Linked DNA regions of Canis lupus familiaris. The protein of the gene in region 2 purifies or fractionates together with the protein of the main gene of each other region. This does not show direct contact. Links are inferred from orthologs where the notes say so. Each region holds a gene or a part of one and is shown on either strand. Other genes may lie near its edges. The genes, in order: TNKS1BP1 and CNOT7.

Region 1 (12,305 bases), on a different chromosome or scaffold from region 2:
AGGCCACACAGCTGGTAAATGGGAGAGCCACGATTGAAACCCGTGAGCCCAAAAATAAATAAATAAATAAATAAATAAATAAATAAATAAATAAATAAATAAATAAATAAAAAAAAAGAAACCCGTGAGCCCACATTCTGAACCTCCCTGCCCTGTGACTGACCCTAAGCAGCCCAGGTAAGCACAGTTTCGTCCAGGGCTCTGGAGTCACAGACCACGGTCTACATCCCAGCTCTGCCACTTGCAAAGCTGCATGACTCTGGGCAACTTACTTCATTTCCGCAAATCAAAGCTTTCTCATCCATAACACGAAGGCAGTAGCATCATCTCCATCGCTGGGTCATTTGTGCATTTAATAAGGGATGGAACGCACTTAGCACAGGGACTGGCACACAGTAAGTACTCAACATTTTGGTTTTCATGGACTGAGGCACAGATGCATTTAAAATGGTAACTGGTGCCCAAAGAGCTCCAGAAATGATGAAAATGAAAGTGTCAAGGCTAGAACCCACACCCCAGCTCCTGGCAAGATCCTTAGGGGTCAGGAGTTAACAGGTGCCCATTAGAACTTTGCTGTGTTCTGGGGATGAGGGCAAAGGTTGAGTCTGGAAGCACATCTGTGAAAATGCCAGAACTGAGGTCTTCCTTCCAAAGAGTATCACATGGCAAGGGGACAGAATAACTTTCCAGAGAGGAATCCTAATAGACGTTGCCTCGGCCAGTGGGGCACACTTAAAATGAACAAATGATAGAGGCGCCTGGGTGGCTCGGTCGGTTGGGTATACGACTCTTGATTTCTGCTTGGGTTGTGGGATTGGGCCCCACATCAGGCTCCACACTCAATGGGGAGTCTGCTTCTCTCTCTCTCTCTCTCTGCCCCTCCCCCTGCTCTCTCTCTCTCTCTCAATATAAATGAATAAATTTTTACAAAGAAATGAAAACAATCTTTTTAATAAAATAAAAAGAAATGAACATCTGATAGGTCATACTGAGAGCCTGTACCTTCAAGAGAATGAGAATGGCACTTTACTTCTACCTCCCGAAAACCTATATTCCCTCTCTAATCAGGAAACATCAGACATTCTCAAATTGAAGGACATGCTACAAAACACCAGACCAGGACTCCTCTATACCATCCAGGTCACCAAAATCAAGCAGAAACTGTCCCAGTCTAAGGAAGTGTAACGAGACGTGACAACTAAATGTAATGGGGTGTCCTGGGTGGGATCCTGGAACAGAAAAAGCGATGCTAGGCAAAAACTAAGAAATGTGAGTAAATTGTGAACTTTAATAAATTAACAATCCCATCGCTATTTCTTCATCGGTTGGAACAAACATACCATCCGCACGCACATCAACTATTACAATTAGGGCAAACTGGGCGTGGGTTTAGTGGAATTCTCTGTACTATTTTTGCAGCGTGTCCATAAATCCAAATCTATCCTAAAATAAAAAGTATTCTTTTGATAAATGTTAGCAGTCTAGGTATATCTGGGTGGCGATGTCACAGGCTAATTTTCTGAATCTTACTTCTCCGTGTTTTCTAGGTAGTCAACCATGAATGTTCTGCTTTTGCCATCAGAAGAAAATTCAATAAACTTTGTTTCTTAAAAAAAAATGAATGAATGGGTGTTTGGCCCTTTGGAGACAAAGCCTATGTAAATAAAAGTATAATTGGAGCTGTTTCTCGGGCAGGGATTAAAACCCACTTTATCACTGGGCTCAGGAGGCTCTAGCCCCGAGGGCCTGGCTCTCCCCCAGGGCAGGGGGTGTGCCTCTGAAACCGGCCAGCGCTTTTCCTGCCTGGATCAATCAGCACTTGCGGGGAGGAAAAGGGAGCCAGGGCAGCGGCAGCAGAGGCCAAAGGGCTTGTCCCAGGTGAGCCTCCGCTTCTGGCTCAGTGAAACTCTAGAGGCAAATCGGCCCTAAGGACATCCCGTCCACCAGCTTCAGTCTCTCTGGGCCGTCGGACGAGGAATTACTGCTCCATCCAAGGGGACATCCAGGGTTCTGTCTCAAACCCCCTCGGGACAGCAATGACCACGGCCCGTGGCTGGACCACATTTGGGGACAGGACACTGGAAGGAGGAAGAGCTAAGTGGGCAGCAACCCTTCAGAAGACTCTGCCCAACACCCAGCATCACCAGTCAGATCCCAAGGGCACCATCGGCGAAGGCCAGCTGGTTCTCAGGCTCAGCCCGACCCCGAACACCAACTCCAGCTCCTGGAGGGGAGGCCACGCGAGACAACCCCCTGGGCTCCACTCCTGTCCAGTTCCCAAAGGCTTCCCCCGTCATCAGGAATCCGATCTGTATGCGGCCGGGCTCTTGGTGAGGGCCTCAGAAGCAAGGGAGAGGGGAGAGGCAGTGTTGAGACATTTCTAACTTTGATGAAATCAGGACAAGGTTCTCGGGAAGGGACAGCTCCGCTGCCTAACACGCAGGGAAAGGACTGGAAAGGGGGGGATTCCTGCATACACACATTGAGCTGTTGCCTTTAGCCTGAGAGGCTGTACGCTCGACTCTTCCAGAGCTCATTCACCTCTTCAGAAAATGCCTTCAGAGCCACCTTTGACTAAAATCGATCAGCTTCCTGGATTGCCCAGAGTATCCCCACAACGCAAGCCTCCAAGTGACTTTCAGTGGTCTCCAAAATCCAAAACCAGGCAAAAGACCACCACCACCCAGCTGTCTGAGGCGACTCTCAAGAACCCCAGGCTCGGTCTGAGAAATGGCAGCACAAGAACGTTACCATCTCAGTTGTGGCATTTGTCACACACCTGCCTTTGTGGTCAAAGCCTGAGTGGGTTGCCCTCTCTCCTGGGCTCCCAGCAAAGGCCCTGAGCCACTCTCCAGGCAGAGGGTGAGCAGAGGACACCCCCCACCCACACCAGATCTGGCTCTGCTTCCCTGGGAGCCGGCCCATCTCTTCTCCCTCCCAGCAGAGCCCGGGCACTGGGACAGCCCAGACTCCATTTGTCCCACTAATGAGTCTTAAGTGTTTGGCTTGGGCTCCTGCCAGTCCTACTCCTACAAGGAAAAGAGAATGGGAGAGAAGAGGACAAAGCTCACGCCGGCTCGGCTCTGCTGGGCCCTGGGAGGGTTGGCATGGGGGCTGCCTGGCACAGACCCAGGCACCAGCCCGAGGCCCCTTCACCTGTCTTTCCCCTCTACTTCAGGGGAGCTTCTCGAAATGCAGATTCCTGGGCAGAGCTACTGGATTGGAAGCCTAGTGGGGGCCCAGGAATGTGCATTTTTAAATAGCACCGCAGGGGCTGTGCTCATGGTGAAGGTGAAGAACCACTGCTCTAGGAGGTCCGCATTGGGAATTCCAGGCTGCTGTGGGTATGGTATGTATACGTGCATTTTTCTAGAGCATCCACAGCTTTGGTCAAATTCTCAAATTAGGTCAACAGCCTCTAGATTCCCCTAAAATAAAATAAAAAGCTAAGATGCTCTGGCGAATGCAATGATTTCCAAACTCAGGTGTATCTGACCTCAGCGGCTCAGTTCAGTCCCCATCAAGGCGAGGCCCGCAGGGGCCTCTCCCTTCAACCAGCCTCATAGAAAGCGGTTGGTGAGTCTGGGGAACACAGGATGACACAGAAGAAGGCCAAGTAGGAGGTCAGGGCCCCGTGCACCTTCCAGAATGTATGGGCTAAAGGGGCCCTTAGGGAGCAACAGAAGTCAGACACCGGCAGGAAGGCTGACTCTTCACCTGCACCCAGTCTTCCGTGGCCACACAACTAAACCACATTTCCCACCACAGGCACTCCCCACCCACCCACCCATGCCCCCCCTCTGCTAGCAAGGGCCCTGAGTTCAGTTCTGGCCAATGGAAATCTCCCATCCTGTGGTCCTGGGGAAAGGTCTCCCCAAAGACCTTCCGTCCACTCTCCCCTGGGTGTCTTGGGGGACTCCGGAGCCCCTGCAGAGAGCCAAGCCACCGCAGGGAAGAACTGGCTCCCAAGTGACTATGAGGTGCAGAGCGTCCCTACCACCAACCCACCCCCCAGACTGCCGTGAGCAGCAAATAACCCTGTGTGTCAAGCTCCTGAGATGTGGGGGTTGTGTGACTCAGCAGTCAGCTTCCCATCAGCAGTACACCCCCTCCTCAGGGACACTGAGCCCCCGAGCACCGGGAAAGGGAGCAGGCAGTGGCACGGTGAGCTCCCGTGGGCAGGGGCCAGGCCCAGCACTTTCCAACTCTGGTCTGGCATGGGGGTCGGGGTGCCACAACCACACACCACAGCCTGGGCAGCACCAATTCCCAAAAAACTTTATTGTTTCAAGTGGCAAAATGTTATTGGTCTCTGTGGGGCACCTGGCAGGACGGAGGGAGGCCTGGGCGGGGGCAGGGCTCCGCCCGTTACAAAAATCAAAGGCTTTTATAAAAAATGCTATAAATTGATATCAAAAGAAAACCCGGGGGAGGCTGGAGGAGGAAGCAGAGAGGGGGGTGTCGAGAGCGAGGGAGGAGGGACCAAACCTTCAACCACTAATGCCTGAATCTGGTCAGGAGGGAGTGAGGGAGAGTCAGGAAGGGCAGGGGGATACAAAGTGCATAAATGTGCCTCCCCAGACGCTCCTCAGACGTGGAGGGGACAGAGGCTGCAGCCTGGGGCCTGGTGGGGCTCCAGCCGTCTCCTCGCCGGGGACCCCACAGGAATGGGCATTGCCTGAGACTGCCAGATGGAAGGACCTGCAAGGGGAGGAGGGGGAAGAAGGGGTCAGGGGGTACACCATGGCGGGCAGAGGAGCCACTTCAGCTCTGGCTTCCTGTCCCTTGCCCATCCTGGCTCCCCCAGCTGAGCCTCGTGGTGAGGAGGGTCCCACCTGGGGCCCTTGAGCCTAATAAATACCAGAAGGGCAGGCTGACCCCACTTGGGCCAGCCACGGGGTTGGGGGCCCGTGGGGACCATCCTTGAGCCCAGGGAGGAAGGGTTGGGGCACGGGGTTGGGGGCCCGTGGGGACCATCCTTGAGCCCAGAGAGGAAGCCAGGATGCAGCCCTCCTCCCCATCATCCCAGGCCGGACAACACTGGATTCTGTGGGCAAAATCTAAGGGGAACCAAGGGACCCACCAGGTCCTAGAGCTAGGCTCCCCTGGGCTGCTGCCAGGCTCACAGAGAAGAGGGACAGAAAGGCCTAGAAGAAGGCAGGGGGCCTCCTGAACCCTCCCGTGCAGGTCTTGCCAAGCCCAGGAACCCACACTTACCTCGAGGACTTCTCAGACCTTCTTCTTCTTCAGCTTCAGGGCTTGTAGCCAGTTGGGTGATGATCCTTCTGACCTAGATGGCACAGGGCAAAGGTCATTAGGCAAACCTTAGGACATAAACACGGTTAATTCTGGCCCACCCAGCGAGGCCAGTTGAGGTCACCTACCCTGAGGATTTCTCTGGCTTGGGAGGTAACGCAAGGGGCTTCCCCAGCCCGGGGACCTTGCAAGACTTGGAACGCTGCACCGCGGACTCCTTCTGGCTTGGCTTGTTCTCCGCAGACTCCCCCTCCTCAGCTGAGCGGTTCCGGGGGCGCAGCTTGGCCTGTGAGATGAGCCCAAGTGCAGACAGATGTCAGAGGAAGGAGCAGGGTGATTCAGAGGGCAAGGCCTTCTCTTAGGAGCCGTCCCCAGAATTAGGCACAGACCCCTTTGCAGTCCTTCAACCCAGAGGGACGGGAAGTCGCCTGAGCCACACCCTGCACGGAAGGTCCTCGTGAAGGTTCTGCTCCACTGAATCCAGACAATTGGGCTGGATGAAGCGAAGCCGGCAGTGCCTCCCGAGCCCTGTGCCTCCGTTCATCGGGTTCCCTCTGCCTCGGGAACCTCGAACTCCTCCCCATCACCCTGCCCTCCACAGCCAGCTCTACACACGCCTCAAGCTAAGATCCGGCACTTCCACGAGCCCTTCCCCATACACCCTCCCATCCAGCAGGCAGGTCGGTGGGTCAGAAGAAGTCACACCTCACCCCGACCCTCCGCCCCCACCCCCAGAAGAGGCCCAGCCCTTATCTGTACATCCCCAACCCCACACCTGCAGCTCGGCCCTTCACCAGAGCTAACAGGAGACAGGGCGTGTGTCCTCCTCGCCTTGTGAGGTTCTGGGACTCTGGGACGGGAAGGAATGCCTTGTTCTTCCTCCCATCCCACTCGGGACCCAACAGGGCCCTCAGGGGGAGCAGAAGACAGGAGAATGGGAGGGAGGGAAGGACGGATGGATGGACGGACAGAAGAAACCCCAGGCAGGCACTCGGGGGCTAGGGGCCGGAGGGGCTGGATGCGCTGGCCGATTAAGACACTACCTTCAGGGCTGACGGGCTCAGGCCAGGAAACAGGTTGACTTTCAGCCCCTTGGTGCCCAGGGACATCCGTGTCCGGCGGTTCTGAGGCTCCTCCACCACCTCCTCGTCTGAGGATGGCACCCGAGAAGCCCGTGGCTCTGCAAGGGCCCAGAGCGGGGGTTCAGCGCGACGGCGAGCCCGGAGCACCGCCCCCACGCAGACCCAGACGTCACCCCACCAGACAGGGGCCTACCCGTAGAGTCCTGGAACAGGCGTGCGTCCGAGTCGGCTGCCTCCGAGAGGCCCAGGGTGCCCCCGGGCCGAATGGCCGGGGCCCGGTGCCCACGCTTGCGCCCCAGGTTGGCTCGGCTCCGGTACATGGCGCTGTCGAGGATCTCGGTGTCCTGGTCGGGACAACAGCAACACCACTGCCATTGCGGTCCCACGGGAACCCTCAACAGCGCATCCCTCCAGCAGCCTACAGCGCCCCGTTCAGAGGGTCACCCACTGCCCGCCTCCTGCCCCCCCTCCCCGGGGGCTGACGCCACTCAGGGAAGCCCTAGGGACCAGCCTCGGGCCACATCGCCCATGTGCCCCCCGACAGCCCAACCACTGCCCTGGGCTCACCCTGCACTGACCTCAATGAAGGAGAAGTCCTGACTGGGAGAGCGGGGCGGAGGGCCCTGAGGGGGCCGCCGAGGGGGCCGTGTGGGGCCCTGGGCGCCCTGCCCGACCCCTGAAGGGCTCCAGGTGCCGTCCACCTCTTCCGTCTGGCTGGCCTCACCATCAGGCTGCGGCCTCCAGGAAAGCAGAGGGGCCCCGCTAGGCTCGAGGGGCTCCCCTGTGTCGGCACCCACTGTGGCTCCGTCCTCCTCCAACAGGCCCCTGGGGCCCGAGGCTGCTGACCCCTTGCGGGCTGCCGCCCTGGAGTTGCTGGTGGCCAGCATGTCCTCCAGCAGGCTCTGGGAGCCAGAGGGCGGGGAGCGGGCCGGGCAGCCGGCAGGACTGCAAAGGAGACAGACCAGAGGACAAGGTCACCCATGAGGCCCCATCTTCCTCCCCCAAAGCCCACTTCCCAGTATTGTGCCCCCCTCCAACAGGCTCTCCCTCTCCTGCCTCTCCATGCTTTCCCAGACACCTTCCTTCCGAAAGGACACGGTCGGGGCCTCAAACAGTACAGCACAGAGCGGGCAAGGTGGGCAGCCTGGTTCAAATCCCAGGTCCGCCACTTACTGAGGCTGTGGACAGGTCCCTCCACCCATCAAGGCCTCAGGACCCTCTAACTCCCAAGAGTTGCTGGGGACTGAAATGGGAACCACAGCACAAAGCACAGTGCCTGGCACCCAGCGTGTCCCCAGCACTGACCACAATCATTACTGCTGTCCATGTGCTCCTCATAGGGGCAGCTGCTTGGGTGGTCACTCTCCCTGGGACGAGCCAGGCACTGGCCCCTGCAGCATCCCTCCCTGCACCCCAGCCTCACAGAACGTCCAGGGACTCCCCCAAACACATCACCGTCTTTGCAGACTGCGGTGTATGTGCACAAGCTGTTCCCTGGCCTGGAAGGCTCCCCCACTGCCCTGCGCTCCTCTCCCGGTCACGGGTCCATTCCTCTTCTGAGGCTGGCCCCTCTCCACCCCCAGCCACAGCCCCCCTTCCTGAGCCCTGCGAGCCTGGGGCCCCCACCTGCACCAGCCCCTGCCTCAGAGCCCATCTGGGAACCACTCAAGGGCAAAGGCGGCCCCTTTGGCCTTTGTGACCCTGGTACCTGGGCTCGGCCCAGCCAGGAGGAGGATTTAGCAAATGTTCGCCATCCACTGACAGGCTAGATCACCTTGCACCTCAATACGGCCTGTGCATCTTCGGCCCGCCGCTCCCTCAAAACACGACAGACACACCCGGCTCAGCACACACGCTTACTCACATACCTCACACAAGGAGCTGGTGTGTGGGCCAGCTGCCACCCCCTGAAATATGGACACACCCTACGCACACTCACAACACACTTCCCTCGAGGCACATGTAGGACCCACCCCCAGAAGCACAGCAGAGCCACACCCCAACACACACACACACACACACACACACACACACACACACACACAGGCAGCAGCCGGGCAGGCAGGCGTGGGAAAGGCAGGCAGGGGCAGTGCCCGGAAGCCAGGCCTCAGAGAGTTCCCAAAGGGACTGGAAGGGGAGGAGTATAGGGCAGGTGAGTCAGGACCAGGCCGGAAGCGGGGAGGGCAGGAGAGAACGTGTGTCAGTCTGTCCTTCCACAAGCTGCTGACAGATGGAAATAAAAACGGTCAGGGGGTGGGGGGGTGGCGGAGGTGGCAGCAGAAGTGCAGCAAGGCCGGGAATGGCGCAGCCCTGGATGGGGGCCAGAGCCAGCTCACCCTGCAGCTTAAAATCACGGAGGCCAGGAGGGAGGGGGCGGTGGCGGCACCCCACCCAGCCTGAGGAGGCCCCGCCTAACGCCTCTCCCTGGGGTGGGGCAGAGACCAGGCTGAGGGCAGGCCAGCAGAGTCAAGGGGATGTGGAACAGCAATGGGTGGATGGAAAGATCCACATCCACATCCAACACGTGGACCCCAGCCGCGTGGGCAGAGGGCAGAGGAAGAACGAGTGGGCTTTGGGGGGGCCACGAGGAAGGGAGGGTGGGAAGTGCACTGGGGAACATGGTGTGCATCCTCCTTGCCGGCCTGTCTAAACTCCAGCTCCAGAGAAGCCTTCCTGCCTCTGTGCACCAGAACACCTGCAACCTGACCCCGCCCTGGCAGGGAAGCAGGAGAAGAATGGTCAAGGCCTGTGCCGAGGGCTGCCGTGGGCACAGCTACAGGCTCCGCCCGTACACCACCTGCCTACTTACCCACTCTGAGCCTCAGTTTCTTCATCTGCAAATCGGGGATAATAAAAGACCTATACTTTGCTGGGTCTGTTGGCAACACATAGGAAATGTGTGCCCAGCACACACCACTGTGTGCTAAGTTTTGATACATTTTTAGGATAATCGGGGCACCTGGGTGGCTCAGCCAGTTGACTGACCAACCCTTGATTTTGGCTCAGGTCATGATGGCTCCTCAGGTTCCAGCTCAGCAGGGAGTCCGCTTGAGGATTCTCTCTCTCCCTGCACCCTCTGCCCTCCCCCCGCTCATGCCTGCTCCCTCCCTGTCTCTAAATAAATAATTTTTTTAAATTTTAATTCTTTCAGGATAATCAGCATCCTCAACACAGGTTCCTGGCCTGAGGACCTGTCACATCTTATACCAGCTATACCCCTCATCCCTGAGTCATCTGGACTTAGAGTCTCCTGAGGGTCAGGACTCTCATCTCCTGACCCTCAAGAGACTCTGTCCAACTGCACCCCACCCCCCCACCGCCACTGTGGGGCAGAGCCTAGGGAAGGGCATGTAGTCAATGTGCACAAAGCCAGCTTCCCCATATTCAAGGCTCCAAGACCCAAAATAAAGGAGGCTCAGGCCTGCAGCTGGAATGATGTGCCTAAAGGGGCAGCAGATGGCCTGGACCCCAGAGACAGGAAACACACCCAGAGAGAGGATGACAAGGCTGGGGCCTGAGGGAACATGAGGGAGCCCGTAATGACCAGCCGTGGACCTTGTGCAAGTCACACTGCCTCCCTGGGCCTCAGTTTCCCCACCCACTGAAATGAGGGAGCTGCCCTCAATGATCTCTGAGGAGATTCTATGAACAGCCCAAAATGACTGAGGTCCCCATATCACTGGGGCCCAGGGGAAGGGCAGGAGATGACCAGGAGGTCACAGAGAAGAGGGGGCAGTGCATGAGCTCTCGGGGGACCCGAGAGAGCTACTCCCACCAGGAAAAGGTGGCCCTAGACACAGAGGAGGGGCCTGTCCCTGTGACCTAGGAGCTGCCCCTATGACCCAGCCATCCCATTCTGGTCCTGTCAAACTGTGCTGGACAGCAATCCATCAAGGGTACCTTTGTCCCACACAGAGTGAATGACAAAAACATCCCCAAGGGCCTCACTCAAGACAGCTCAGATCCAACCAAATTTGCAAAACGGATACAATTATGACTAGCAAGAATTTTTTTCAGTGATTACCACATGCCAAGCAGTTTTCTATCACTTGATGTGTGTCTGAGACTCAATCCTGTGAGTGTGGGGTGTAAATTACTCCCAGTGTACACATAAGAAATAGGAGGCTCTGAGAGACAGAGAGAAGGGAACTTGCCCAAGGTCACAGAGGTGGTGGCTGAATCAGGACTCAAACCTGGCAGATGGACCCAAACCCAGACTACTCTGAACTGGCCTCAAGGACGTCCCAGGGGAACCTCCAAAACTTCCTTCAAAGAGCAATTTTCCAGGGTATAGGATTTCCCTAAGTCAGATGCCCAGAACTTCCTGGATAGGAGTCAAGTCTGCGAAACCCTGTGCTACAGAGCAGTGAACAGGTTTCCTCATGCCTGTGCTTTCACGGGCTAGCACGTGCTCGTGCACAAACACTCCACGTCTCCCAAATGGACAACACAGACAGAACACCAGAGCGGCTTAAAGGCAGGTTAGAGCCCGAAGCTCAGCCGGCTGGGCGCTGAGGACACCTGCTTCTCCGCTCCTACTTTCCTCTTCCCAATCCAGGCCCTGCGGCCCCCCAGTAGCCCCCACCCCTCTCCTGAACCAAGGGAAAGATACTCCCCTCTTTCCCCTTCTCAAGAGCCACCCAGGCAGAGGGGAAGGGTGGAGGGCCATGGGCCCAGCTCATGGGCAGCCTGAGACTCCCGAGCACTGTGACCACACCTGACAGCATTTATGATGCGGACACCGAAGCCAGAGAGCAGCACTGCTGACTGTGCGACTGTAAGCAGGTCACACCCCTCGTCTACGTGCAAACTGGACATGGTACAGATCCCTTTCCACAGAAGGGGGCAGCTGTGAAGGTTGAGGTAAGATGGGTAGCAGAGCGCTGGGCCCGGCAGAATGGCCGTGTGGGTGACAGAAACCAAGAGCAACCCCGGGGCACTAGGAACCGTAAAGCCTCCTGGGGGGGACGTGAGAAGGTGAGGCTCAGAGACAGCATCCAAGATCCCAGGAGCCCCCAACTCCCCATCCTGTGAAACCACCCCTGCCCTGCAGCCCCTACCCCAGTGCTTCCCCACCTTCCTCTCTCTTTCCCTCCTTCTCCTGAATCCTGGTGCCTCCCCATCCCATCAGTCAACACCCCCACCCACCCCCACCGTTCCCTCTAGACCATTCCAGGTTTCCCCTCCCCCCAACCCCCCTGCCACTACCAGCAGCCCCTTCCACTCACAACACGGCCCCCATCCAACACCTCCCTCCCTTCCCTTCTTCCCCGACTGGGACTGGCCGTTGAGAAGCTCCAGCTTCTTCAGAAAGGTAACCTTTGGGGGCGCCTGGGGGGCTCAGTGGTTGAGCATCTGCCTTTGGCTCAGGTCTCAGGTCGGAACCCCAGAGTCCCACATCGGGCTCCCTGTGGGGAGCCTGCCTCTCCTTCTGCCTCTCTCTCTCTCATGAATAAATAAATAAAATCTTTAAAAAAAAAAAAAAAAAAAAAGGAAAGAAAGAAAAATAACCTTCTATGCAGTCAAGAGAAGAAAACCCCATCTCAATGAACAGAACATGTTAACAAAACAGACGCAATGTCTTTTTAGTACCCCTTGCAGGTGTGAAATCACGTCAGCTACTTTCAGAACATAAAAATCCCTGGGACAAGCTGTGGTTGGCTCGTAAAACTACTGGTCTATTCCTCTGGAAAGTTCCCTCTCCGTCACCATGTGCACGGAGGCCAAGATCACGGGGTCAGAAGCCAGGTCTCCATGACCTTCAGGATCTTAAACTGTTTGCTCTTCCAGGCCTCACGACAGGGCAGGCAGGAAGCACTAGGTTCCCCGTCTCTGCAAGGAATGAGCGCCTCTGTCCGCTCCACTCCTAACCTGCAGCGGCCCAGGCCAACTGGACACAGGGTCCAGTCCTCCTGCCAATGCCGTGAAAGCATCCACGTTCCCTAGCCCGGGAAGACCCTTGGGCCA
Region 2 (12,305 bases):
AAACTAGCCCTCTGATTCACAGCTTGAAACAGTGCTTTGCACAAACAGTGCTTACTTCTGTGCTAAAAATAACATGAGGATTAGGTATCATTAGCAGCTGCTTAGGAGAGCAACAGAATAAGGGCAGTCAGCATGAGTGACCATAGGTCAAAAAGCACCTTTGCCTTCAACCTAAATTTGACAAAGCAGCTCACTCAGGGCATATACAGAATATCTGGTGTACTTAGAAATTTCCCAATATCATTCACATAGGGAGCAGTAATTTGATTCTGTTCCTAAAAAAATGTCATTGTAGAGACATGTCAGATTCTACAAAGCACTTCTAAAGCCAGATTAAAACATTTAGACCATGGATTCTCAGCATGTAATACTTTCAGGAGGTGAACTCAATTTCTACAGCAATAAGGCTATCCTACTACAACTGCAAGTTCACTTGACTCACAGCTAAGAAGTCTCTTCAAATTATATACAATCCTGCTGCTTTTAGGTGCTACAAACACAAAGTAATCTTTCTTAAAAATTTCCCCAGTTATATACCATATTTTGTTGTAAGGCAAGCAAACTTCGGCCAAAAAACTACTTCGCTTCTGATTTTAAGTTCATTTGTCAAAAGCAGTTTCCTTATTCAACTCCTACAATATTCTTTCTGCTTAAAAGTAAAGCTCTTAGAGTTTTTACCATCTCCTAAAAGTAGAACTTTATTTGTACTTCTAAAAACCTGATAAAAAAACATGATCAACCTTGACGAAGGTTCTATGAAGCAACCACTTTACCTAAATGTGCTTTTTAGTTGTAGCTTCTATACAAACACATCTGAAAAAAAAATAAAGCCCTTCTATTCCTTGGGAGTCTGCCACCATGGGTGGATTAGTTTTCAAACTGAAGGAGCACTCTACTTATTAAAGAAACGTTCCTTTTGAAAGAATTTTCAGAAATAATAAACTATTACATATGCATTTAGCAGTATCAGAATGTAAGCTACTGTCCCAGACAGGACTACACATTACCATAGCACTAACTGCTTGACATCTTTTAGAACAGGAAAAAAAAACAAAACACAAAAAAAACCTTTCCATGTATAATCCTAGGAACGTGATCCTATGACTAGAACGAACAAAATTTTTATCCAAGCTGAAGAGGAAACTGTTTGCTACCTGACTACCATCTGTACATTGCTGGCCACCTCAGATTTTATCTTGCATGGATAGACAGTGCATATGTTGGGCAGTGTAAACTTGCACTTCTGTGCATGAGAGCCTCACTAGTCCTCACATTTTTGTTCAGGTTTATGATTTTCAATCCAGCAGTCATGAGAAACCTGATTCTTGGTTTGAATTTTGCTGAGATTAAAAAAAAAAAAAAAAAAAAATGAATTTTGCTGAGAATTTATATTGCCAATGTATGCTGAAGTTCTGAAAAAGACTTCCTACAAATTATTTATGCAACAAAATAACCAGATAACGTAACTACATTTAATATAAAATTTAAAATATGGCTTAAAACAACATCCCAGGCTAGGATCTTACTTATCACTCAGTCTAAATAGTGTGGATTACCAACTGCCACTTGAAGCCTTACTTTGAGATTTTTGCAGCTCTTCATGAGGTACTTCACATCATAAATGACAGGAAAAAATAATCGAAGGATCTCAAAGAAGTCAAGTTCTTCTTCAGGCAAGTTAGAGTTGGTCAGGATTTTGATTAAATAGCCAAAGTCATAACCACTACAAAAGAATTAAATATAGAATAGAGACACATAAATACCAGAGGTGAAAAAATATTTTTTTTCTGATACAAATTATAAGTAAGTCATAACTGTAGGTCAAAAAAGGAATCAACCAAAAAAAGAAAAAAAAAAAAGCACATGAGAGAAAAGACACGTTTATGATAATGGGAAAATGCCATCACCTTACCAAGAGTGATAAGAACTTGTCACTATCATTCAGATATCAATATACTAGCATCCCAAACCTGCAGTCACAGATTACTATTTTGCTGAACTCTGAAGGAAGAACTCTTTAAGAGGAATATCAAACCACTCTATAGATATCTCAAAAAATTTTAAATAACTATGGAAATGGAAAAATAAATATGAATGGAAACTTGGCTGAAAATGTCAAAAGGTAGCAGAATTGGCAAAAATAATACAATTCTTCCCATACTTTACATAAAGAGGTCATGTGCTTAAAAATCTAGAGTGGGGCACCTGGGTGGCTCAATCAGTTAAGGGTGTTAACTCTTGATCGCTGCTTAAGTCTCCCATCTCAGGGTTGTGAGTTCAAGCCCCACATTAAAATACTTAAAAATTAAAAACAAAAACAAAAAGAACCCAAAGAGTAATTCCCTAATGGAAGTATTTTCTTTTCCTTACATGATCTTATCAGTCATTCTCTTCCCTCAAAATTCTGTTCCTATCTCCTATGGCTCCTCAAGATATACCAATGAAAATGCTGCACATGGAAGAAATAAGAGTAGTAAACAATGAGAACTAAAATCCAGAGAATAAAATACCAACTCCCACACTTTCAGATCAAGATCTCCTCTCTCTAGTGTTTTTTTCCCCATAGCTTTATATGTCCCTCCATTCCTGTGCCATAATTAACTTTTTTTCTCTGTCTACCTTTATTTACTTCAAGGGCCTCTTACAAGGCACCTTCCTCAAAGAGCCTAACTCCCAGTAATTTCTTATACAAGGTGTTTTCTCCTACTATGCTTTAAAATGCAGGTATTGTTTTCTACACTAGTCTAAGTAGGAATCACACTTTAAAAAATATCTCAAAATCTTTTATTACACATAGCTGGAACTCAGTACATATTTGATGAGAGACGATATTAATCGGTCTTTTGAGGGGATACAAATAAAATTTCTATTTAATATTCAGAATTACTTCTAATATTAAAAAGAAAAAAGAAGCTTTACTACTGAAGACTGGTAAAGCACACTACGGTATACGCGATAAATGGCAGAACCTTTAAATTTCTGGTAATTGGCAAGGAAGTAATTACTATCTAACTATATATAAATTAATACTTTTGCTTACTACTAGTAAAAGACTATGAGAATTTCCGGTTTATGAATTTCTTAAACTAGTCTTTATCTCCTAGAAATAGGTTAGAATATGAAGAAAATATTTAAAATGGCATTTAGAATAAAACATACCTTGACAAATAGTGGAGTCTAATTTTTAGACTCTACATTCTAAAAAGACATGAGCCCTTTGTTCCTCTTAATATCTCCAATGCCTAACACACAGTATTTGCTCAGAGTATTTTTTTTGAATGAAGTAAGTCCTATACAACAAAAGGACAAGGATGATGCTCTCTAATTATGACCAGGAAGTAAAACAAAACAAAACAAAACAAAAAACTGAAAAAACATTCCTCAAATTAACAGAGACTTCAGTCTTGTCTCCTGAAGTAAAGCTCAAATGCAGAACAAAGAGAAAAGATGACAGGTGAGAATTACTATGTTCGGTACCAACTTAAAAATTACTGCTTAGTATTACACCAGAGTTTGCAATATGAACAGTCCTTCACTATAATCATTCCAGAGGCTAGAGCTGAAAATGCAGGAGACTCCTTTTTTTTTTTTAAATGTGTGGAATGGACCCAATGTAAGAACATTAAGAGAAGGCCAAATAAATTAATTACCGTAAGAGAAGGCCAAATAAATTAATTACCGAGGCCACTTTTAGTCCCTGGGCTTCCAGTTTAATTTAGTTTACCTAAATAGGAAAACTCTGTCTTATTTGGAAGTCTCTTCTTAAAAAATGGAACTAATTCCCCTTCTGGAAATTCTCTTCAACAATCCAGTCTTATTTTATAATAAGAATTAAAAATGACTATTTGTTGAGAATTAACTGTGTGTAAAGTCTTTTACTAAAATGCTCTAAATATATCATTGGTCATTAAAACAAGATATTTACCTAAGTAATGCCAGCTGATCACTCTATTTAAAAAAAAAAAATAATAAAATCCACAACCTCTACCCTCCCCTAACACTCTCTTTCTGGTTTTTTACTGCATTGCACTTACTAACCAATAAACCACAATATAAATGTCATCATTTAAAAAAAAAAATTGCCTACTCTGACCAGAATATAAACTTCATGAAGATGAGGATTTTTGTCTGTTTGGCTCACAGCTTAATTCCTAGAATCTTATACTGCAGTACTTGGCATTGGTAGATATTAAATAAATATTTTCTTAATGAATGAATGGTTTAATTCTAAGGCTCAGAAATGTTAAATGACTCTTGGTAACATTGATTCCAAATGGCATTGCTGGATTTAAACCAAGATCTACTTTATCAGCTTAACTTTTTCCACTATGTAATACAGTCTCTCTCATAGGCTAAAAATGAATCTCATACCTTTAAATTAACCCTTAAGCAGACCAACATTAGCTTCTTAAGAGAGGAGACTGTTTTGCGGCAGCCAGTTCCCTCTCGAACAGTGACCCACACCAAGTATAAAGCAGCTAGGAAACAGAAACACAAATGCTATTTTCAATGCAATTTTTTTTTCTTTTTTACCTATGAAAGGATAACCATTTGACCCCTTCGCAAAGGACCACTCCTGATGTCATAAGAAGTTCTGCAAAGTACTGGGTCTCAATTCCTTCCTCCTCATGTTTTTTAAACTGGATGCCAGATGTTGTTAGTAGCTCTATAGAGTCCTGAGCATACATGTCCTCCCTGGCAGGAGAAAAAGAAAGACAACCTTCAAAAGCGCCATACTTCAAACTGTTTTTCTCCCACTTACATCTACAACTACAGTGCCAGAAACAACGAAACAGAGGATTGGCTTGGGTCCAATTATTCCAGTGCTTCACATATATGAAGGAAAATACAATTTAAATATAAAGGTTATTATTTTTGAAAACTGTTCAGTAATTCATCTTTTAAAAACAGTCCAAGGGTAAGATTTTAAGCTTTACTATCGATTCAATTTCATTTGCCTTTCACAAGTTAGATATATTTAACTGAGTTTGAAAAAAGGGTCTTCTACTCACCAGGGGCTACCACCACAAAATAAAAGACATGTTTTTTCCAGGGGCTTTCAGTCTCAGCAGTCTTTTTATAGCTGCCAGATGGAGCTGTAGCCACTGGGGTGACAGCCTATATACATCTCCCATCTCCCAGCAGCTCCAGGAAGAAGCTGGAGAAAACATCTGATGTGGCTAAGTGAAACTACATTCCATCCTAAAGAAAAAGGGAGATTCCTCCTCTCACTAATGATGAGCCTTTCAAATGGCTCCAATAACCAGTAACATGCTTAAAATGAAAGCCTTTGCTATAACAGCAATAATTTCTTCTAACAATCTTAATCCTAGAAAATCACCTTCCAAAAGTCAAACCAGGAAATCTAAATATAAACCAGTCCTTCAAGATTTTACTTAAGGCAAAAAAGCAAGCCCTAATTTCTAAGCACACACAGGAATCCAAAATGTTAAATTAAAAAAGGATCAAAACAAAGGTATAGGTTTCTGAGAATACATGAGAAGTATTTTGTGCACTGCCCATTGTATTTTCATTTACTTTTTAAATTGCAAGAATATTAATTTCCACCACTTGGCAATAGAAAACTCTATTAAAAGCCACAATATAACTAAACCAAAAGAAACATTTTAAGTAAAAAAGTATTCTTAAGGTCTATTCTCTGGACATCAGTCTGCTTCTAGATGTCTTTGAAAAATAACAAAACGTAATGCTCTATGACACCAGATGGTAAATACATTTATTGTGGTGAACACTACACAATGTATGGAACCTTATGCACCTGAAACTAATATAACATTGTATATAAACTGTACCTTAATGTAAAAATTAAAAAAAAAAACAAAACAACTAGCCTCTGAAACATTTGAGAAAATAGAGGGGAACTACAATCATCACTTTAGACCAAAACTCCCCACAGAAAAACCCTTTAGGAAAGATATCTGAATAAATCTAAGTTTTTTTCATTAAACAACAGATATTATTAGCCTTATTACACTAAAAATATGTATCTTAAACAGCAAGTTTCACTCACCAGGCTCTGATACCCACACTGGGAGGCATACTTTAGCAAATTATAACCAACCCAAAGCATAACAGATTCTTTCTCTAGGCTCACATTATTCTGGGCCATATGCTCACTTAATCTTTATTACAGTACACTCTCAATCAGAATGTAAGCTTTAAGAGGGCAATGATTTTTGTCTATTTTGTTTAATGTCTATCACCATGCCAAAAAACATGTGAGGTAGAACAGTAACAGGAATCATCCAGAGAGCTTATCAAAAATATGGAATCCCAGGTCCTATGCCTAGACCTACTGAATCACAATATCCAGAAGAAAGACCTGGATAAGTACTTCAGGCATTCGATGATCAACAAGTTTGGTTAAAAAAAGGGGAGGATAAATTACTTCTTTCTCTTTTTTCTGCATAGTTTACATAACTCAATGCAGCGTAAGCTAATATACTGTCATTTAAATTTCTTTGGAGGAAATATTTTAAAATTTGGAACCAATTCCATGCGTTATAATGCCCAACTCATTAGAAGAGAAAGCCGAAAGCTCTATACAGGTAGGCTAATAAATCTCTAAATAGGATGAAGAAAATTTCCTGCTGGTAAGGAAAACTCCAAAATTGTTACAATTCAATTCCGAATCAAGACTGTCCATTTCCCAATCCATTTCAAGTTTTCAAATCATTCCCCACCCTCAAAAATCTTAGTAAATGGAAAAAAAAATCTCAGTAAATGCAGGAATATATTAGAGGATGCAAATCTCAAAAAAGTAGTGAAAACACTGTTGTGTCCAAAATGTAAGGATTGCTGCAGGTGTAGGGATTGACTTACTGATTAGAACAATCTGTTCAGAACAGCAGTGACTGCTCTTAATACTAATCAACTACTGAAGTTTAAGGTGGCAAAATATTCAGGTATAATAACCCAACAGGAGTGAAAGCCATGTACAAATCTCTAAAAAAGGTTTTCCCAAAAAGCAGATATATACAAGGCTGCTCATTTCAAATAATATCCTAAAAACAGAAACCAACCTAACTTTACTACCATACTTTAATAGTATGTTAAATTACCAACCAAACTTTAATAGTATGTTAAATTCAAGAAATATGTTTTCACTTTTTTTTCAAGTAGGCTCCACATCCAACGTGGGGCTTAAACTCACAACCCCAAGATCGAGTCGCATGCTCTATCAACTGAGCCAACCAGGCGTCCCAACTTTTCGACCTACCTATAAGTATAAGCTCAGCCTACTATACAAATTCACATTTTTAAACACAAGTTAAACATTTTATAGTTTGTACATTTTACATTTACATTTTAAAACACACACGCTATATATTTGTTTTTGCTAAAAATCATGAGAAAAGGCAAACCAGAATACAGACTGTCACAAATGTATGAATGGTCAACTAGCTTAATATTTAATGAACTCAAACCAAGAATACATAAGGTGCTCAAAAAATCTGCAAAGGCTATATGAAAGACAACACAAATAGCCTGCAACTCCATACCTGACACTTAGGTGCCCTTTAGCCTTCAAATGCCTGTCCGTGACCCAAAAAACAAAATCAAAACCACCCACTGTTTGATTCTGTCCTTTCTACTTATGATTCTCCATTTCTTTCCTCTGCCATTTTGCTTAAATGATTATCAGCTTCCTTTCAGTTACCACTGAACCCACAATGTCCTATAACCTTTATTACACTATCAAAATGATTCCCTCAAACACTAAGAATTATTACAATCATCAAACTGATGTTTTAGAAATTTGTTCTCATCTCCTTTGATAGTTTTAATTTGCACAGCTCCTCAATAGTCTACTCCAATTTTCATTTTACATTATCAATTCCAAATTCAGTTTGGAGAGAACTCCTATACATTCATCGTTATCTAACAATTCTAATTTTTGGACTTTGGCAATAGAAAGCAGACAGAAAAGTTACAGGAACATTAAGTTATAAACCATGACCAACTTTTCTCAACATTTATCCCTGGTGCCTAACACAGTTGCTGACACATTCCGGGCACTCAAGAAAAAAGTCAATTTTCATCTTTCTTCAAAATACCTAGATTCTATTCATCGTACTGTCTCTACATTAGGTAGTCCCAGTTTTATCTTCCAATTAATCATTTCTACTTAAATAGTGCATTCTACTATATCCTTCTCCTTAAACAACTTCTTGGACATTAACATTAGTATAAATAGTAGCAAAGCTTGGTAACAAGTAGCCCTCTCTGTATAAGAAAAAATGTCTTTCAAAGATTATAATAATAAGGCAGTTGTTACTATAACAAAGATGTTTCTAGCAAAGGAAAATGTCAATTTTACCAGAATGGAGACATGGATGGGTCCCCTTTTACTCATGTATTTATATCACAACAGTATCTTAGTTTAAAAACATTGTTCTAATGATCAACTTGGGAAAAAAATAACATGGAACAAATGAAATGGTGAAGAACTAATTTTAAAAATGGTTCTCTTTTGAGAAAAGGATAAAAGACATTTTTCAGTATTTCAGTACTGTAGTACTTATAGAAGGTTATTACCAGTTTACATAGAGAGTACAGAATCTTTACAAGATTCTAGTATACATTATGAAATCCAACAAAGTAAAACAGAGAATGAGGCTAAATACAATGTAATTATAAGCCACAGTACTATAACACTATTCTCTAAAACCATCTGCCCTGGCTTTTTAGATCTTATATGCTAAATATCACATTATTGAGGTTCTTACATTGGCACTACTGCTAACTGTGCCACAGCTTCTTTTACTATTTTTTTAAACCAGATATAAGATATTACACAAGTACAAGCTGTCAAATAAAAGGACACTGCAATATTGTAACTTAGAATATATTAAGTATTTCCCCACCTTAGAGTCAGTTTGTAAACAATCTGCCCTCACTTAAAAACACTCTAAACTTCCCTAAACTATCAACCATGAGCTTAACTTAGAATTCAGATTCTGAACTGTATCTGAAAGAAATAAAGTTCAAGGATACCATTACCTCTCCTATATATGTAAGTTACAAGAGGTTTTGTGGGCTGATTGGAAACGTAACTATTATGTAACATTGACTTGAAAGGAAAATCCACCCAAGTTTCCAAGAAATGCCTTACTGCCTCTGACATGTAATCTACTCATAAACTGGAGTCAGATATATTAATCTCTTCACAAGGATAATTACTACAACAAAGATATATATATTTCAAACTGCAAACAAAGTTTGAAAGTAAAACTAACGTAAGGTTATTTTTTCTATCAAGAAGTGATTTCAATACCCAAAGTTTTTCAGGTTTCAAAAAAAGTGGCAGTCATACTTTTCAAACAACATCTTCAAAATTCAAAGTATTTGAATATAAAGTCTTCTTTATCCTAGTTCTTTCATCCCGTAAGAAGAAATCTAAACTTCTGAAATTAGGTTTTAAGTATCTCTAGGATAACTGTGCCAAATTCAGTTAGCATTTTTCACCGTGAGGGAAATCAATTCTTAAAATTAAGCTAAAAAAGTTTGGGTTATATTTATTTCCCACTTACGTCAAATTAAATTTAAAATTAAACTGCCAAGTTGAAGTTCCTGGAGGATATTCTCCTTGCTCATTCATAAATGTCAGTCCTAGCTGAATTATCTTTAACAAGTCTACATTACATCGCAATAGTTGGTACTGATAGTCAGCATTGCTCCTGAATTCTCCAATAGGTCTTGCAACCACACCTGGAAACTCGGTGTCCTGTAAAATAGTTTTAAGATTCATTATTTACTAAATGATTAAAACCACAATTCACAAATTCTTAGAATAAATATGTAATTTTCAGTTCAAGTCAAATAATCCTATTATAGATAATGCTCTACACATTCATGTTCAAATACAAATTACCTTTTAACTATGAAGAACTTCACTTTTTAGAAGCATAAAACTGTAATAAACTTAATGACTTTCTTATCTTAAACTTAATGACTTTAAGTATCAGTAATAAATGATAAGTGCACCAAATATTCTCTTCCCAAGGGAGGGGAAAATATAAATTCATGTTCCTCAAGGGGTATGTGAAACTATGCTCACAGTATGCTAGTGTTAAAACCAAGGAACTGGTTAAAAAGAATGGAAAATGCATCATGCTTTGCAATCATTTCTCTGAGACAAAGTCTGTCTAAACATCAAAACCCTCTTCATTTCTTGGGGTAAAATAGTTCTCTCTCTATAATCTATACATCATCAAAAATTGCATGATACCCACTTATTCCTGTAAAACAGTATCACATCTCTAATGTCACTCCTTATCATCTAAGAAATGATCACTATAAATTTTTGTAGGAAAAAATACTTCAATTCTAATTACGGGTTAAGTATACCTTTACTAAATAGGGTATCTAGGTACACTCAAATATTCACATATTCACCATTCAACCTGCCTCTCCCCACAGAAGCACATTTATGTATTTGCATTAAAAATATTGAGGAAATGATACTATGATATATCACTTTAATTTTAAAACAAACTGGGAAGCTAAGAACAAAATCTGAATATCAAGTCACTATGAAACGGTAAAGAAATTAAAACTCTAAATTCAGTCCAACTCAACAACCAACCACATCACTGGATGTTTGTGTTATGGTAGGTGTGCTGTGGGAGAGAAAAGGTAGACTAGGACACTAACCCCTTGCCTTGCAGAGCTTACATCTAGAAAACAGTACGGTAATTACCACAAATGTACAAGGTACAGTAGGTAAAGCAGCAAAATAATTAACTGAATAGACGGTAGAGGTAGATTGAATACTATATGCAAAAGCAGAGATGCTTAACAGCAGTGTGTTCATCAACTCCAATGATTAAAACAACACAAAAATTGCAGACCAACAAAGTTTTACTGGGAGATCTGAGTTTCTGAAAAGACATGCAGAAGCTCCCTAGCTTTTGGGCGCTCATCTGGTATTATCAGTTACACCTTAAGTGTTGCTGGGAGCTGACCTGGCACTCACAGCTAAGTTCTAACATTCATCTGTTGTTGAGTATAAACAGTTTCATACTTCATCACCAGACAAGACCACTCTGTCATCATGACTGAACATAGACAAAAACATAAACATTATTCTAACCACAAAAATGATCAAACATCCTTCTAGCTTGGCTGATGTAAGTGAATGCTGCTTCTTTATAGCTTTATTCTCACTCTATTCTTCTCTCATTCTAGTTAAGACTTATTAAGATACCCTGTCACAGAATTACCCCAGCTTCCCAACAGCATCCAATTCTGCACAAGGCCCTGCTTCCTTAATCCCTCCCTAAAACCACCTGACAGAAGCCCAAATCCTAAAAGTCTTTTCTAACACTCTTACTGAAATATCCCATGATTACAGTGGCATGCATTTTCCCTCACTGTAATGAGTAATAAACCCAATTTGTCACATTGCAGGAGCGTTCTTGATGGTCTCTGGTTGGAGGACATTGATAAAATTTTTTTATAATTAGATTAATCCCTAAAATATTAACTAGATGGGTTGAATTCAGGGCTTTTAAAATCCCTCTTCCTCTTTTATAAGAAGCATCTTAAGGATGTGAGCATAGGCATACCATAGCAACGTAATTATATTTTCTGATAACTTGGCGAATTTTCTTCATCTCTTCATCCAGGTTGCAAGCCCAAACTTCACAAATTCTTTGGCTATGATCTACAGTTGCTGCTGGCATAGTGAGGGCACAGAAGTCTAGATGCCAAGCATCAAAATGTTATACTTGATTGAAGATTTGTTTGTTTCATAAAATACTTTATCCTTTATTTTTGTACCTGTCAAAATAAAAACCAAATTTATAATAATAAATAATAAAACCAGTAATATCAGAAATCTGAATCACAGGATAATTGGGTTGATACAAACCTAAAAAATTATTTATTCAAAGTCACTAATTTGTAAGATAATCAGTTTGGGAAATGACTTGTCTAAAAGTCACACAGTTAATCAGTAGGAAAAAATGACCTACAACATAGGTTTTCTGGTTCTAATATCAATATTAAGTAACAGTCTTTTTTTATGTGTACATACTAATCACTTTGAAAAACTTTCCATTAATTAAAGATTGCTCTGAATGAAACTCTTTCTCTGAACAAAACTTTATAAAGACATCCATTTCCACATAGAAAATGAAAAAAATAGTGATATAAACAGGATCGGATGTTACTAGGACAAAAGGAGTGTTTGCTTTTACTCATTAACAGAACACTCAAAATCTAACTTGATGACAAAATCTACTTTAGTGGCATTTATTCAAGTCTGATTAGAAGGGACC

What was found.
Region 1: the proteins of CNOT7 (region 2) and TNKS1BP1 purify together in Homo sapiens (affinity purification with mass spectrometry; 4 studies listed by BioGRID and IntAct, counting the BioPlex papers as one, with this or other methods). This does not show direct contact. The link is inferred for Canis lupus familiaris from reciprocal best matches to the Homo sapiens genes CNOT7 and TNKS1BP1.

Annotation. Positions count from the first base shown.
Region 1 is NC_049239.1:39,297,814-39,310,118, reverse strand, and holds the end of TNKS1BP1 (182 kDa tankyrase-1-binding protein), read right to left. Parts: exon of another isoform or gene 11,928-12,305; intron 11,202-11,927; exon of another isoform or gene 10,784-11,201; intron 7,284-10,783; coding exon 6,917-7,283; intron 6,683-6,916; coding exon 6,532-6,682; intron 6,437-6,531; coding exon 6,300-6,436; intron 5,543-6,299; coding exon 5,385-5,542; intron 5,291-5,384; coding exon 5,230-5,290; 3' UTR 5,218-5,229; intron 4,702-5,217; 3' UTR 4,258-4,701; downstream 1-4,257.
Region 2 is NC_049237.1:41,441,984-41,454,288, forward strand, and holds part of CNOT7 (CCR4-NOT transcription complex subunit 7), read right to left. Parts: intron 11,806-12,305; 5' UTR 11,709-11,805; coding exon 11,592-11,708; intron 9,749-11,591; coding exon 9,555-9,748; intron 4,696-9,554; coding exon 4,534-4,695; intron 1,724-4,533; coding exon 1,579-1,723; intron 1-1,578. UniProt on the Homo sapiens protein: Has 3'-5' poly(A) exoribonuclease activity for synthetic poly(A) RNA substrate. Its function seems to be partially redundant with that of CNOT8.